Bombyx mori: one gene and its partner. The protein of the gene in region 2 binds, or shares a complex with, the protein of the main gene of each other region. Links are inferred from orthologs where the notes say so. Each region holds a gene or a part of one and is shown on either strand. Other genes may lie near its edges.

Evidence for each region. Proteins that work in one complex are often made in the same cells at the same time.
Region 1: pre-mRNA-splicing factor RBM22 (region 2) and pre-mRNA-splicing factor SPF27 share a complex: the UniProt entries of both Homo sapiens proteins name them as parts of the postcatalytic spliceosome P complex. The link is inferred for Bombyx mori from reciprocal best matches to the Homo sapiens genes RBM22 and BCAS2.

What each region holds. Positions count from the first base shown.
Region 1 is NC_085118.1:939,517-946,658, forward strand, and holds the start of pre-mRNA-splicing factor SPF27, read right to left. Parts: upstream 4,343-7,142; 5' UTR 4,199-4,342; intron 4,029-4,198; 5' UTR 3,886-4,028; coding exon 3,811-3,885; intron 3,103-3,810; coding exon 2,939-3,102; intron 2,127-2,938; coding exon 1,914-2,126; intron 568-1,913; coding exon 219-567; 3' UTR 1-218. Other genes in the region: WASH complex subunit 3, read left to right, coding at 5,402-5,458, 5,616-5,780, 6,164-6,436. UniProt on the Homo sapiens protein: Required for pre-mRNA splicing as component of the activated spliceosome. Component of the PRP19-CDC5L complex that forms an integral part of the spliceosome and is required for activating pre-mRNA splicing.
Region 2 is NC_085127.1:4,265,798-4,273,026, reverse strand, and holds pre-mRNA-splicing factor RBM22, read left to right. Parts: upstream 1-2,482; 5' UTR 2,483-2,658; intron 2,659-2,732; 5' UTR 2,733-2,776; coding exon 2,777-2,830; intron 2,831-2,901; coding exon 2,902-2,955; intron 2,956-3,026; coding exon 3,027-3,517; intron 3,518-3,856; coding exon 3,857-4,030; intron 4,031-4,536; coding exon 4,537-4,679; intron 4,680-4,914; coding exon 4,915-5,027; intron 5,028-5,414; coding exon 5,415-5,615; 3' UTR 5,616-5,695; downstream 5,696-7,229. Other genes in the region: WD repeat domain 61, read right to left, coding at 55-179, 254-271. UniProt on the Homo sapiens protein: Required for pre-mRNA splicing as component of the activated spliceosome. Involved in the first step of pre-mRNA splicing.

The DNA.
Region 1 (7,142 bases), on a different chromosome or scaffold from region 2:
ACCAAATGCAATATTATTGAAAAGATTTTTAATGTACTAAATCAACAATTTTTTTTTTATTGCTTGGATGGTTGGACGAGCTCACAGCCCACCTGGTATTAAGTGGTTACTGGAGCCCACAGACATCTATAACGTAAACGCGCCACCCAACCTGAGATATAAGTTCTAAGTTCTCAGTATAGTTACATCGGCTACCCCACCCTTCAAACGGAAACGCATTACTGCTTCACGGTAGAAATAGGCAGGGTGGTGGTAGCTACCCGTGCGGACTCACAAGAGGTCCTACCACCAGTAATGACGCAAATTCTAATTTTGCAGGTTTCATTTTTATTCGATGTTATTCCTTCACCGTGGAAGTCAATCGTGAACAATTGGTTAAGTACGTATTTCATTAGAAAGATAATAATAAAATAACTTGAACGTACCTGTTGTAAGTGAAGTAGGGCTCTTTCAAGTCTATAATTGTCCGAGACAAGTTGCGCCCACCGTCGCCTCAATGCCCGCAACCTCGCACCGCTTGCTGTTTGTACGCGTTTACGTTCCCAGTTCACAGAGCCTATTTGTTTACTGAAATGTAATTATTGTTTTTAATAGACTGGACTTGTGTGTACACAGTAAAAAAATTAATTTTGGTATGGTCTAAATCCTTAATTCCCAAAGTGGTTCAGGTGGACGCCCAGGGGTCCACAGAATACTCAACGGGGATCTACATTGGCGTACTATTTTTTATATTTAACACTCCGAATAAGGAGTTTTCTAAATGAAATAAGTGAGAATTGATGGGTTCCTTGTGCTGTGAGTAGATATCAATAAAGTAAAGTTGGATGGAATCGCTTTTTTATTGGCAAACTTTCCATTTTTTACATCCATTCACAGCAGCAAAATCAATTGATAAATTAAACAATCAATTCTCACTTTATTTTTCGAAAACTATGAAATCGCGGTTGGAACTTAACCGCGACGCAAATTTTCGTACTTACATCTAATCTCCACATTTTTACACAGTTTTGGAAATATGGTAGAAACCTAGTTAGCAGGGGGTTCCCTTGCAACCAAATAAATGTTGAAAGTGGCCAACAGAACAAAACCTGGAAGCCTCTGGTCCAAATGATATACAGTCAAACCTGGGTAAGTGAGAACTGGATAAGTGAGAAAACTCTATAAGTGAGAGTAATAGCCAGGACCCGTCATTTTTAGCTCCTAAAACCTCTATTAGCGAGAAACGGAAACCTCTATAAGAGAGAGTATTTTTTCCCTCATGAACCTCCGTAAGTGAGACTGCTACTATTCTATACCTCTATAAGCGACAGTCGAGCTTTATTTATTTATATTATTTAGGAGGAACAAATGACAAAACAAATTACAAATTTAAAATCTGCTATTTTATGACCCATTCTTAACTTTCGTGGAACTTCTTAACATTGTTTTTGTATTGTTTTCTCGTCAATATTGAACCTATTCTATTTCGTGGAACTAAATAACGTTATTATTTTATGGCATTCTTTTCGAATGGACACGTGTGCCTGTGTACCATCTTGTTTGTCAGACTTACTCAGTTTATCGTTAATCAATTGCTGTCATTAAGTGATAAACTTAAAATAGTGAATTCGTTTGAATCCGTAAAATCTCTAAATGAAATTCAGAGGGAGCATTAGAGAGAAACTCGGGTTAGTGAGAAACCTCTATAAGCGAGAATGAGATTGTGCTCCCTTGAACTCTCGCTTATCCAGGTTTGACTGTAATAGTTTGGAGTTATATAAAATCCTACAAGCAGTTCTAACCTACTGTTTCTATGAAAGGCAATAAGGGTCAAAGCAACAGACAATTACTTCCCTAGGCTCTATAATCGAAGATAGACTCCCTGTCAAACTAACAACCATTTAAATATAATTTCTATGTTATACATCTCTTACCGTAACTGGTTGTGTTCGTTTTGAGCTCTTGTGACTAATGCTTGAAGTGTATTGAGGTATGATCTCCATGCTTCTGAACCGTACTCTAACTGCAACTCTAAATTGAGAACTCTGATAGCTTGGTGTGACAGCTGTGCATGAGAGTTGTCAACTGACTCGGCCCAGGCACTTGGTTCACTCATTCTTCCGACTGGAGGGGGTGGAAGTTCATACCTGAGGAATTAATTATACATAATATTTCAATAGTTTTTTTTTTAAAACCACATTCCTGTGCTTCACTACATCACGTGATCACTCAATAGTGATGTTTGTTAACATGACCAGAGGATTTGGCATATTAACAGTCAGCATCACAAGATACCACTTAGTAAAAGTTACAGACCTACATATTATATCTCCTCACAATCTTACTATTACTTCATTATCATCATGTTCATACTGTGGCATCAGTAGCCAGGCTGACTCAAATACCAACTTAGCTTACAAACCTATCAACTTAATTGAAGTCGTCGTGGCCTAAAAGATAAGACGTCCGGTGCATTCGTGTTGAGCAATACACTGGGTGTTCGAATCCCAGGCGAGTACCAATTTTTCTAATGAAATACCTACTAAACAAATGTTCATGATTGACTTCCATGGTGAAGGAATTACATCATGTAATCAAAATCAAGCCATTAAGCAGGCCGAATGCAGGCAGCATTGGAGGAAGCTGGTGCAAAAGCTGGACCAAGGTGGTCACGACCCTCAGTAATGAGGAAACGACAAAGAAGAAGAAGAAGAAGAATCAAAATCAAACCCGCAAGTTTTTATTTACGTAATTACTGATGGTAGGACCTCTAGTAAATCCGCGCGGGTAGGTACCACCATCCTGCCTATTTCTGCCGTGAAGCAGTAATGCGTTTCGGTTTGAAGGGTGGGGCAGCCGTTGTAACTATACTTGAGACCTTAGACCCTATATCTCAAGGTGGGTGGTGCAAATTAAAAGAACAAAATAATAAATAAAAAAAATTGCAGGTTTTATGCACCTCTTCATAGACAATGGTTCCATCGGCAATCTCTGTTGCACTCTTTCCATCTCTCGTTGTAAAGCAGGAGTTTCAAATGCAGAACTTGGTTCTGGTCCTGCATTTTCAAGATAGTTCTTTGTGGGTCTATAGCGTCTGCACTCTTCTTCCACCATGGCCAATGCCTGAAAATCAATTCCCATATTTAAGGGTAGTTTAAGGAGTCTTCTATAAGTAGGTTTGATTATAAGGACATTTTATACTGCAGTATCAATAAGAAGTGCTTTAATAATACTTTTTTGAGACAGCTTCCCAGTCACACAATCAATTATTACAATAGCAATGAAACAAAATAATAAAATCGTGAATTGAATTGAATTTGAAATTGACATTAAAATTGAAAAAGAATTGAAGCAAAAGTGCTTTGTAGCTTACAGTGTATGCAAAAATTCCTAGAAGTTCTGCATTTCCTAGACTGACCAAGATGAATATTACCAAAATTACTTCGTTTTGTATCACTCAATGCAAAAAGGAACAAACAGAAATCTAATTTCAAATTGATCTTTGGCAGTGGTCGAACCAAGACTATACAAATCGGTTTATTCTAAAGGTGAAATTATTCCATTTCGAAAAAGGAAGTCCTTCGAAATAGCATACATGTTCAAGAAACAACGAAAAAAAAACATTTTTATATAAATCTCTCAGCGGTGACTGCGCATTTTGAAGCAGACGAGAATATAACCCACATTTGTGAAGTGTGGTCGTTCAGACCAGCAATACCAAAATGATTATTGAATTTCTTTCTCTAGATGTCAAAGCTAAAGCGATATGAATCTTTGTTGTAAAGGAAATGGTCCAAGAATTAAAAAAAGTAAGGTTATCATAATACTTACAGCTTCTCTTACTCCAGGATCGTCATATCCTTGGTCTATATATGGTAATGCATCTACGACAACTTCTCCTGCCATTTTCTACAAAATTTATAACTCCCTTTACTACGAATGGGTACTGTGATTTATCACTTTATATTAAAGTTTTAACGCTGTTCTTTGTTTATTTGATTTTAGTTGTGTCACTTGTGTGACATTCTTCGTTTGAGCTAGTTTTAAGCCTAAAATGAACAGGCAAAAGAAATATAGTCCATATAGCTAAATCTTTTGAATTCCTCGATATTCAATAAATTGATATTAAATTAATATTATATTATAAAATGGAATTTAATGAAAGAAGAACACATCGAGTAGATATTAGATGAGTTGATAATGAAACAATGGTGCTTACTGAGAGATCAACGAACTTATTTTGAAAATATTCTCGAGTGGCAGCCACACACGACGCAGCTTAGATAGACTTTCGACGAGGTGAACTGACGTCCTACTGAAAGTCGCAGGAATCTAATAAATACGGTCGCTGCACGTCTAGGAGTGGATGATTTGTGTGAACACGTCCAATGTTTGTTTGATTTTTTAAAACTTGTGCCATTTCACATGTATTCAGTGATTAAAAAGCTTTCATTACTACAAAATTAGACATTTTATTACAGATACATTCGCGAAGCAGTTGCCCTTAGCTGTTAGATCTCCTACGGAGTCGTGGCCAGGTCAGGCCTTCGGTACTTTGGAGGATTGGCTTGTGCGGCTTTTCGAAGCCTGCCTTGAGCCCGGACGGAAATCGGACAGATTCATCCTTCTGAGGAAAGAGGAGCTCCTCTAGGAGTCATCCGTGGTGTACCACCACATCGTGTTGCTGGACGAAACTAGAAAATTGTTGGAGCAAGTCGTGGATGCGTCATCTGCCCCATCCCCAGGACGGGTTCCAATCGGTCAGCCGAACAGTACGGCTTCAGAAAGGGCCGGTCTACCATCGACGCAATCATGCGTGTGTGTACCCTCTTTGATGAGACTGTTGCCCGGGGCGAGGTGGCAGTTTCCTTAAAGTCTCAGTAAATAACCATCATTTTACTTAGATTTCACGCCAATTGATTATTGTTTCAAATTAATCAACTCTATTTCATTTTACTTCATATTATCATTTTTCATAAAATACAATGATAACTTAGGCTGTATCGTATGATACTTTTGCCTTTCCAGTTGGAAAAATAGAACTACTACAAATATTGACAGTGGACAGTAGCACTATTGTCAAAGAATAGTGTTATATTGATAAATGTAAATTAATGATAATAATGTCAGACTTAGGTGGTGGTACCGTACCTACTGTACCTACTGAAATATTCCTTTTAATTTGCTTACATACTCTTTTAACGTAAATAAATAGGTACGACTGTCACGGAAGGAAAAAGATTGTTATTGTAAAATAATTAGGTGCTTTTTATATTAAACTTAGTGTAATTAAAACTCGTGGACCTATTAGTCAATGTATTGAAATGTAATTCAATTTGGTTTTTTCAGTAGAACAAAACAAATTCAAGCTTCCAAACCACAAGACAAATTTCTTTTTCGTCTTGTTTATATTCTACTGAAAATGACCATCCAAGAAGATTTAACTCAATCCGAATCCCCACAAACGGATTTAACTAAGGTTTTAAATTTGGAATTATTATTATTTGTTGTAAAATTTAATGCAGTACAAACTTCACGGCCTTGATTATCTTTATAAACTTCCTAATTCTAGAAAACACAATATTTTTTTATAAATGAGAATAATTTATTTTTAATATTTAAAAAACAAATTGCAGGTTGCGGCATTACATCAAAAACGTACATTGGCATTTGTAAATCATTTCCTAACAATAAATGTACAATTTCTGAATAACTTTATGACGAATTGCGAGCAGAAACTGATGCAGTTTGAGAGAAAATTAGAAAAAGTTAATGCTGCCATGGTTTTGTTAGAATCTAAGGTGATTATATTTTTATAAATTATTGTATGTAAACAAAAACGGATATCTAAAATGTTTTTATTTTCTATCATTAGTCATAATAAACCATTTCTGCAAGACCTTCTCTGGAAAGCTGTTGATTGATCTGATAAAGTAAGAGCAGCCTATTGATATATTTGCAATGCATAAAGCTTCAATTGAATTAAAAAAAAAACGGTCTCCTACCAGATTAGAAATTAGACTACTACTAATTTTAAGATATGGCATCATTGCATTTCACCATAATCCTTATTCAGGTTGTGTTTATGCCATTTCTTTAATTGCCCATGTGCCTCAAAAACTTCATTTTAATTGATAGCATACATCAAACCGATACATAAATAGATAAAACTTATTGATTTCAGTTATCTTCAATACCAGAATTAGACATTCCTAAGCAGACAAATACAAGTAATGTTACAGAGACTGAATCTACTGAAAGTCAAAATGAAACAGAACTCCAAGAAGAAAATCTAGAAAGAAAACTAGAAGACCAAGCCCCAGCAGAAATGAAAACTAAACCTGAATATGATAAATTTGTTAAAATGGTTCAAGTAGGAGTGCCATTGCAGGCAGTGAAACTCAAAGTCTCGTTAGAAGGTCTCGATCCTGAAATACTGGAGCAATTAATAAAATAAAATAATATTTTATTATTTACATTATTGTGTTGTTAGCATAGTATGATCAAATAACCATAGTGTGTAAACCATAGTTTACTTTTATAGAACAAACAATAGAACAGTGTATTCTGTGATACCTCTAATCTAATGGGATCATAAGTGTAAAATTAATAAAATAAAATAATATTTTTTTTTTGTTTAATTGTAATCAACGTATAGTTTAGAAAATATTATCTTTTATCTATAAAAATATCATTCTAATTGTTAAAATTGTAATGTTTTTGTTCTTATCGTTTTAAATAATGTAATAGGCTCAAATATTTAAGTAGCATTCCTTAATATTTTTATGAAATGTTGAAAATGTTGTTTTTAATAAAGGATTTTATAATCATGCAAGATTATTGATCACATAGAGGTGGACCTAGAAAAAAATCATTAAATACTTCTGAAAGTTGATATATGCTTACTATTTTAATTAATTTATTTTGTGAAACATGTTGTATGCGATTTATTCCTTTTTTTGCAAATAAATAGTATTCTTATAGGGGTAGTAGGTGTATTGATTTATGAGAGATTTATTTGACGTAAAATTGGCCATGTCAGTTAGATTGTGTACAATCATGCTACAGAGATACTATTATATTATATTCTAGTAACAATAATAGGCACCTATAGGCATCAAATGTTGTACCATCCTAAGTAATTGCAGAAATAGTTCTCTGCC
Region 2 (7,229 bases):
TAAAGTTTATTTCTGAAGCTTTTATTAGTGGCATATGGAATTAGGATTACTTACTGTAATTCCTCTGCGTTTTCTGTATCATTTTCGCCTTCTTTCGGTTTCTCGGGTTCTATCCTACTCCAAGTACAACACCAAATTGCATCCTCGTGTGCATTTTCTTTTTTCAATTGTAAATAATACTGAAAAAAGGTTTGACTTAAAATCGGAACCGGTGTTTAATTACTGAAGAATTATGTACACATTTAAATTATACCAGAGTTGTAATGGACATGATTACTAGAAGCCCGAAGCGCGATCTTAAAACCTTTAGTTTCCTAATTAAAACAAATAGTGTACATTATTTCGGAATTTTCGAATTTTACAATTTTTTGAGCAACTTTTCATAGGTACCAATTAGGGATGTAACGCGTTTGAAGAAAACCGGAAAAACCGGTTTTATAGATAAATAAATTATTTAAGAATATCGGTTTTTAAAAACACGTTACATTCACAATTCACACCACTGCTAGCAGATCAAATATACAAACTACCGTGCTGCTAAATAAAAAATGCCGTGTTTGAGATTCAAATTACCGTGCATTACATTTAAAAACTACAGTACAGTTTGAAAAAAATACAATAGTATTAAATCAAAACTAAAAAGCTTTTTATTATTGGATAATATAAGATCATTAAGCTTATATAAAATATGCTCACCCTATTAATTGTATGAAGAAAACTCTTCATTTGCATGTAAATTTGTTTTATTTAATGATTATTTAGCCTTTATGGAAAAAACCTAAAAATACCTTAAAAAACCGGTTTTTTGAGAAACAAATCAGTAATAAACCTGAGCCAGAAATTGTAATTTTTAGTTTAATTTCTTGAATCAATGAGGCAAAAGAAACATGATTCATATGCATGTACGTGTGACATATATCTTGAAAGGTGGACAATTTTGCAATACTTGACGTGATAGACATTACTTATCTTTTCCGTAAGATTGGGAATATTTACTGATGCCAACCCAGACCCTACAGGAAGTCAATCAGACCCTCCAGGTTTCCGATCCTGACCAGTGATCTTAGAATCCTTAAGTATTTTACCCGCTAGCTTACAAATCTATTACACTTCAGTATGATACCGTTGCCCTCTGAGAAAACGCTTGTATCCACTGTCCATGATACTGGTGGTACGATGATTTGTTAGTCCGCACGGGTAGGTACCACCTTACTTATTTCTGCCGTGAAGCAGTAATGCGTTTTAGTTTGAAGGGTGGAACAGCCATTGCACTGTAAAAACTAAGATGTCTCGAAGTGGGTGATGGCATTTACGTTATAGATGTCTATGAGCTTCGGTAACCACTTAACACCGGGTAGGCCGTTGGCTCGTCAAAAAAAAACTTTGTATCCATCCGTGAAGATGGTTTGGTATTAGGTTCAAATTTGTCTCCTCAAGCAATAATTCTACTAATACTTTTCTAATTAATTTCTCATGTGCCCTCTCTCAGTAGTACATTTATTCGTTATGGGATTTTAGTTATAAAATTTCATCGTAAGATTTAAGTAATAGATCAATAACTATCCAGAATTAAGTATTCTATTTTTTTTATTGCATAGTTGGGTGGACGAGCTCACAGCAAACCTGGTGTTACCTGTTACTGGAGCCCATAGACATCTACGACGTAAATGCGCCACCCACCTGAGATATCAGCTCTAAGGTTTCAAGTATAGGGCTGCCCCCACCCTTCAAATCGCATTACTGCTTCACGGCAGAAATAGGCAGGGCGATGGTACCTACCCATAAGGACTCACAAGAGGTCCTACCACCAGTAATCATAATAAGACCTGAAGGTGATTATTCGAAATGTAATGAAAATTAATAGAAAGTAGTAAAAACAGAAGTTAAACACAGAAAGAACTCAAAACTCAAACAACCTGAGAAACATTGCTAATTCTACACTGTTTCACTGTTTCTGCTCAGCTCACCATAACATAACCTAGTACGGTTAAGTACCAAGAGTCTTTCTATTTCGCTATGAAGTTTTTTATTTATTTAAAAAGTGGAAAAAGAATGGAAACATCGACCTGGTGTTCCAACGCCGGCAGTGACGGCCATTTGACTTATAAAGCTGAAAACTGGAAATTGATATAGCATTTTATAGCTTCGTTGACTTGTTGAACAATTTTAGTCAAATTACGTAAGTGTTGTAGTAGTAGCAAATTAACGATATTAGTGATCTGAGGAAATGGCTCTTAGTAGCACCGCTCTTTTGATATTTTTTAATTCCTATGAAATTTGCATTTCCTGCAGAGAATTCCCCTTTTACTGAAAGATTATTTGAATTGATTTCCTTTGAAGTCCAAGTAGTTCAACTACTTTAGTCATAGAGTTTCTTAATTCTACATAGAATAGGCTTGGCTTTACTTTCCATTGCAAAAGAACTGTATGCTCTTGATTTCTTTGTCTGTTTAAGCGAAAAAAATCAATAATCTCTATGTTCATCCCAGTGTCGACTGTCGACGGTTCAGTGCCATAGATTATACACTTTCAGTGCTGTTCGTTCAGAGTGAAAATCTGTCATTACAAAATGAATGTTCAATGACGTACCTTGGTAACTAAATACTTTTGTGATTTAGTTGCATGTAGAAATGGGAAAGAAGTGTTTTGTTTGATAGGGTAATTTAAACTAAATTACATTTCAACTTTACAATACAAATTACATTTCAATTCAACAATTATTTTTGTCACAGTTAAGCTGCGTTGAATCTAAAATAATATCAAGAAAGGACACGCCATGGCTACATCGAAGTCAACAAACACATACAATCGTCAGAATTGGGAAGACGCCGTGAGTATATTGTTGAAGCTTATCAATTATCATTATCTCATTGTGGTAGTAACCATGTTATATTTTTGCAGGATTTTCCAATATTGTGCCAAACATGTCTTGGAGATAACCCTTACATTAGAATGGTATGTATTGTGGTTTCCGATAACATTATTTCGACAACTTTGATTGTTTTTTTTCATTTAACTATTTTCAGACTAAAGAAAAATACGGTAAAGAATGTAAAATATGCTCAAGACCTTTCACAGTGTTTCGATGGTGTCCCGGAGCAAGAATGCGTTTCAAGAAAACAGAAATATGTCAGACCTGTTCGAAACTGAAAAATGTTTGTCAAACATGTTTATTGGATTTGGAATATGGTCTGCCAATCCAAGTGAGAGATGCTGCATTAAAAGTTCAGGATGACCTACCTCGAAACGAAGTAAACAAGGAATATTACATACAAAACTTGGAGAGTCAGCTGTCTAACTCTGATCCAACACAGCCAACCAATTCTCTAAAATCTAAAGGATCGTCCGATTTGTTGGTGCGGTTAGCTAGAACAGCTCCATATTATAAGAGGAATAGACCGCACGTGTGCTCGTTTTGGGTCAAAGGAGAATGTAGACGAGGGGAAGAATGTCCGTATCGTCACGAGAAGCCAACAGATCCTGATGATCCACTAGCTGATCAGAACATTAAAGACAGGTTAGTCACATAAGTTTTCTGTACATCTGCTTAGTGAAAATAAAAATAAACACGTCTTTGTAAAGTGGAATTTTAGTAAATTGCATTACAAAAAGTCTTTCGATTTAAGGTATTCATAGATTTTGATCAATTATTCATTTGAGTTCCAAAAATGAACCAAATCCTGACTAAAGATTGCGAATTAATGAGGCTTAAGTTATTGAAACTCCATTGTAATAATAGTATGTGAAATAACAGCAATATCATAGTTGTTATTGAATATCTCTTGATATTTTACAGTAAATAGCTGTTAGTGTTTCTAAAAAAAAAGTTGAAGGTTTCATAATTTTTTATTCACAGGTATTATGGTGTAAATGATCCAGTAGCTGAGAAGCTTATGCGTCGTGCTGCTGCAATGCCTGCTCTACCTCCACCTGAAGACAAAACTGTTACTACCTTGTATGTTGGTAATCTTCCTGATAATGTCACTGAGGACGAGCTTAGAGGCCACTTTTACCAATATGGTGAAATTAGGTAAGTTTGACAAGTTAACACAACAAATAACAATGCTCTGGAAACAAACAGTTCATAGAAATAAACTCATAATTGTGTCTGGTGATATACACTGCATATATCTTAATTATGTTTTAATAATCTAAATATTTTTTTATTTAAATTATGCAGCTAATGTAAAGTATTCTCATATGTTCAGAGTTGACTAACTAATATTTAATTTAAGGATTATGTACCAAGTAAACCATAGTACATCCCTAGTATTATGGTTTTTAAAATAAGACCGATATCTGATTGGTGGTTATCTTAAGTTGCTACAACCATTTTTCTCATCAGTTCACAGTAGTATTCCCTTGTATTTTTTTATTATCTATTAATGTAATTGAGATTTTGATCATCATCACAAGGCTGATGAAATTAATGGTGTGATGTTGTCATTAGAAATGTGTGTATCATTAGAAAACAAATCACTATTCTAGACTTGTTTGATAAAATTAGCACTATGTTAGAAGTTATTGAATTTTCAGATGTTTGACTCTTGTACCTCGAGCCCAGTGTGCCTTTGTGCAATATACTTCAAGAAATGCTGCAGAACATGCTGCAGAAAAGACTTTCAATCGTCTTGTTATTTTTGGCAAGAGACTGACAATCAAATGGGGTAAATCGCAAGGTAACAAAACATTATTATTGCATTGTGCAAGTTTCTAAGAGAGTACCTGGTAACTACAAAATGTTAGAATACACTACATTTATGAAAAAGTATTCAATATGTTTTTTGCAAGTTATTTTCTGAAATGAGGTTTGTACTCAAACTAGTATAATTTAAAGACCTCAATCTGTAATATGATAGTAAAAGTTTATATTTCGTAATATTTATGAGTGTGTAATGTTGTTGTATATAACAGGACGACAAGGACTTACTGAGAAGAATGATGGTGTACCCATGTTGGAACCAGTTCCTGGATTGCCTGGGACGTTGCCACCACCCCCTGCATATTTACATCCATTCCCGCCACAAGTTAGTGTAAAAATGTTTTAAATTCTATGTAAAATATTTTACTTTTCTTCAAAGGATACTGAACAAAGCCTACTTTACTGGTGGTACTTAGCTTTACTGGTGGTAGGACCTCTTGTGAGTCCGCGCGTGTAGGTACCACCGCCCTGCCTATTTCTGCCGTGAAGCAGTAATGCGTTTCAGTCTGAAGGGTAGGGCAGCCATTGTAACTATACTGAGATCTTAGAACTTATATCTCAAGGTGGGTGGCGCATTTACGTTATAGATGTCTATGGACTCCAGTAACCACTTAACACCAGGTGGGCTGTGAGCTCGTTCACCCATCTAAGCAATAAAAATAAACAAAACTTAGAGACCGTATTTGTAATATTTTGTAAATTCTGTGTTCAGATGCCACCACCCCCGAACCGTCCGAACGATTTCTTCAACTTGCACCACTATGGTGGTCCGGGCTGGGGACCGTGGGGTCCGCCTGGCATGGCGCCGCCCCCGCCTCCGGCTCCGCTCCCGGCCCCGCTCCGCCTGCACTACCCTAGCCAGGACCCCGCGCGTCTCGGGGCCCACGCACACACCAACGCGCCGCAAATTTAGCAGTTGCTAATAGAATTCATAGTCATGAACTTTAAATTATGACGATGCTTGTTAAACGTGAATAAATCCAATAACTATGATTTGTGCATTGTTTGTTTGTGGTATTCTTTGTGTGAAATTTGAAAAATAAATTTAAGTAAGGTTCGATATAGAGTAGCCATTCCCAAAACGACCCAGTACCTTCAAGCTTAATACCTATAGAATAGTAAAATAAAGAATAAAAAAACGGAATTGAAGATGGTGGTGTGATCTAAATGAATTATTTTTAAATAAACGAGCACTGCTAAAGAAGATGGAAAGACGCCGTAACAATTTGCTAGTACTAGAGACCTTCATTCAAATTAAATGAAACTGACCTAACTAAAGAATGCTAGTAATGAAAAAGTTCTTATAAGTTTCTACATTTCTTTCATGTTAATATCAATAAAGGTTTCAAAGTAAAACAGATATTCTGAAACTATATTTATTATTAATCATAAGTTCATAACATTACTTAATTGTTACAAAACAGTTTAAACATTCTGATAAAACTACATTCCTTCGCTTACCATTTATTCTGGGTAAGGACGGTCTGTTAAATAATTTACATTAAACTAGGCCCAGATTACGTAATGAATCTTAATTAAGATGACGCACTAATTGTACGTCGCGACGATGAAACAATTTAAAAGCAGATTAATATTGGCTCAGAAAGCTGTTTAGTCGGTTGACTAGTTTTAAGAATATGCTCATATCCTAATTCTATACATATACATTATAGTGTTGTGCATCTAAGTCTCAGTGAAGGGCAAGAAGGATCATTCAGATTAACGGTAATTAACTATATATATATATATATATATATTTAAATGAACATCGAGAATACAAGTTACTACTAAATTAGAGACGTTAATAATTTATGTACACTTTGGAATGTTAGACACATCTAAAAGTTTAGTTTTAAAAATCGCTAAAGGTTTCGAACTCCACATCACAAATTATAATTTAGCATTAAACAGTATAGGGACACAAAAATATAGATATGCAAATATTGAGCCTGCTAAAATTCAATTGGTACATGTAATCGATACAATAAATATAAAAGTATTAAAAGCCTTGGGTGTTTATTGGATATTATTTTCTTAAAGCATATTTTGTAAGCTCTCGTCTCGTCCGGTAATAGTCTAATAATAATCGAACGTTGAATAAATGCGCTTTAAAATATGACATTAAAATATAAAAAAAATGCGCCAAATGAAATATTTCTAAGTACATAGGTTGCACAATATCTTACTAACTTACTGCAGCCGTTCATAATTATTTTCAGTATATATATATAGTATTTAATAAAATCTTATCTATAATTGCTGGAGTAATGTTAACATTTCGTCAAGAATAAAACAAATTACAAATAACAATAAAATTATGTTTGTATTAGTTTTACAATAGGGATCGCACAGCCAAGTAATAACAATGTTGCCGTTCAAGTATTTTAACGTGTTTTAAAGTGTTATTATGTTTCATAAATTAAGTGTTCGAGCTGTCCATCCTTATTGAAAGAAGGTTGTCATAATTATAGTCAATTATTAAAGACTTCGTTCACACGAATTGTTCTTCGATTTTGAATTTTCCATT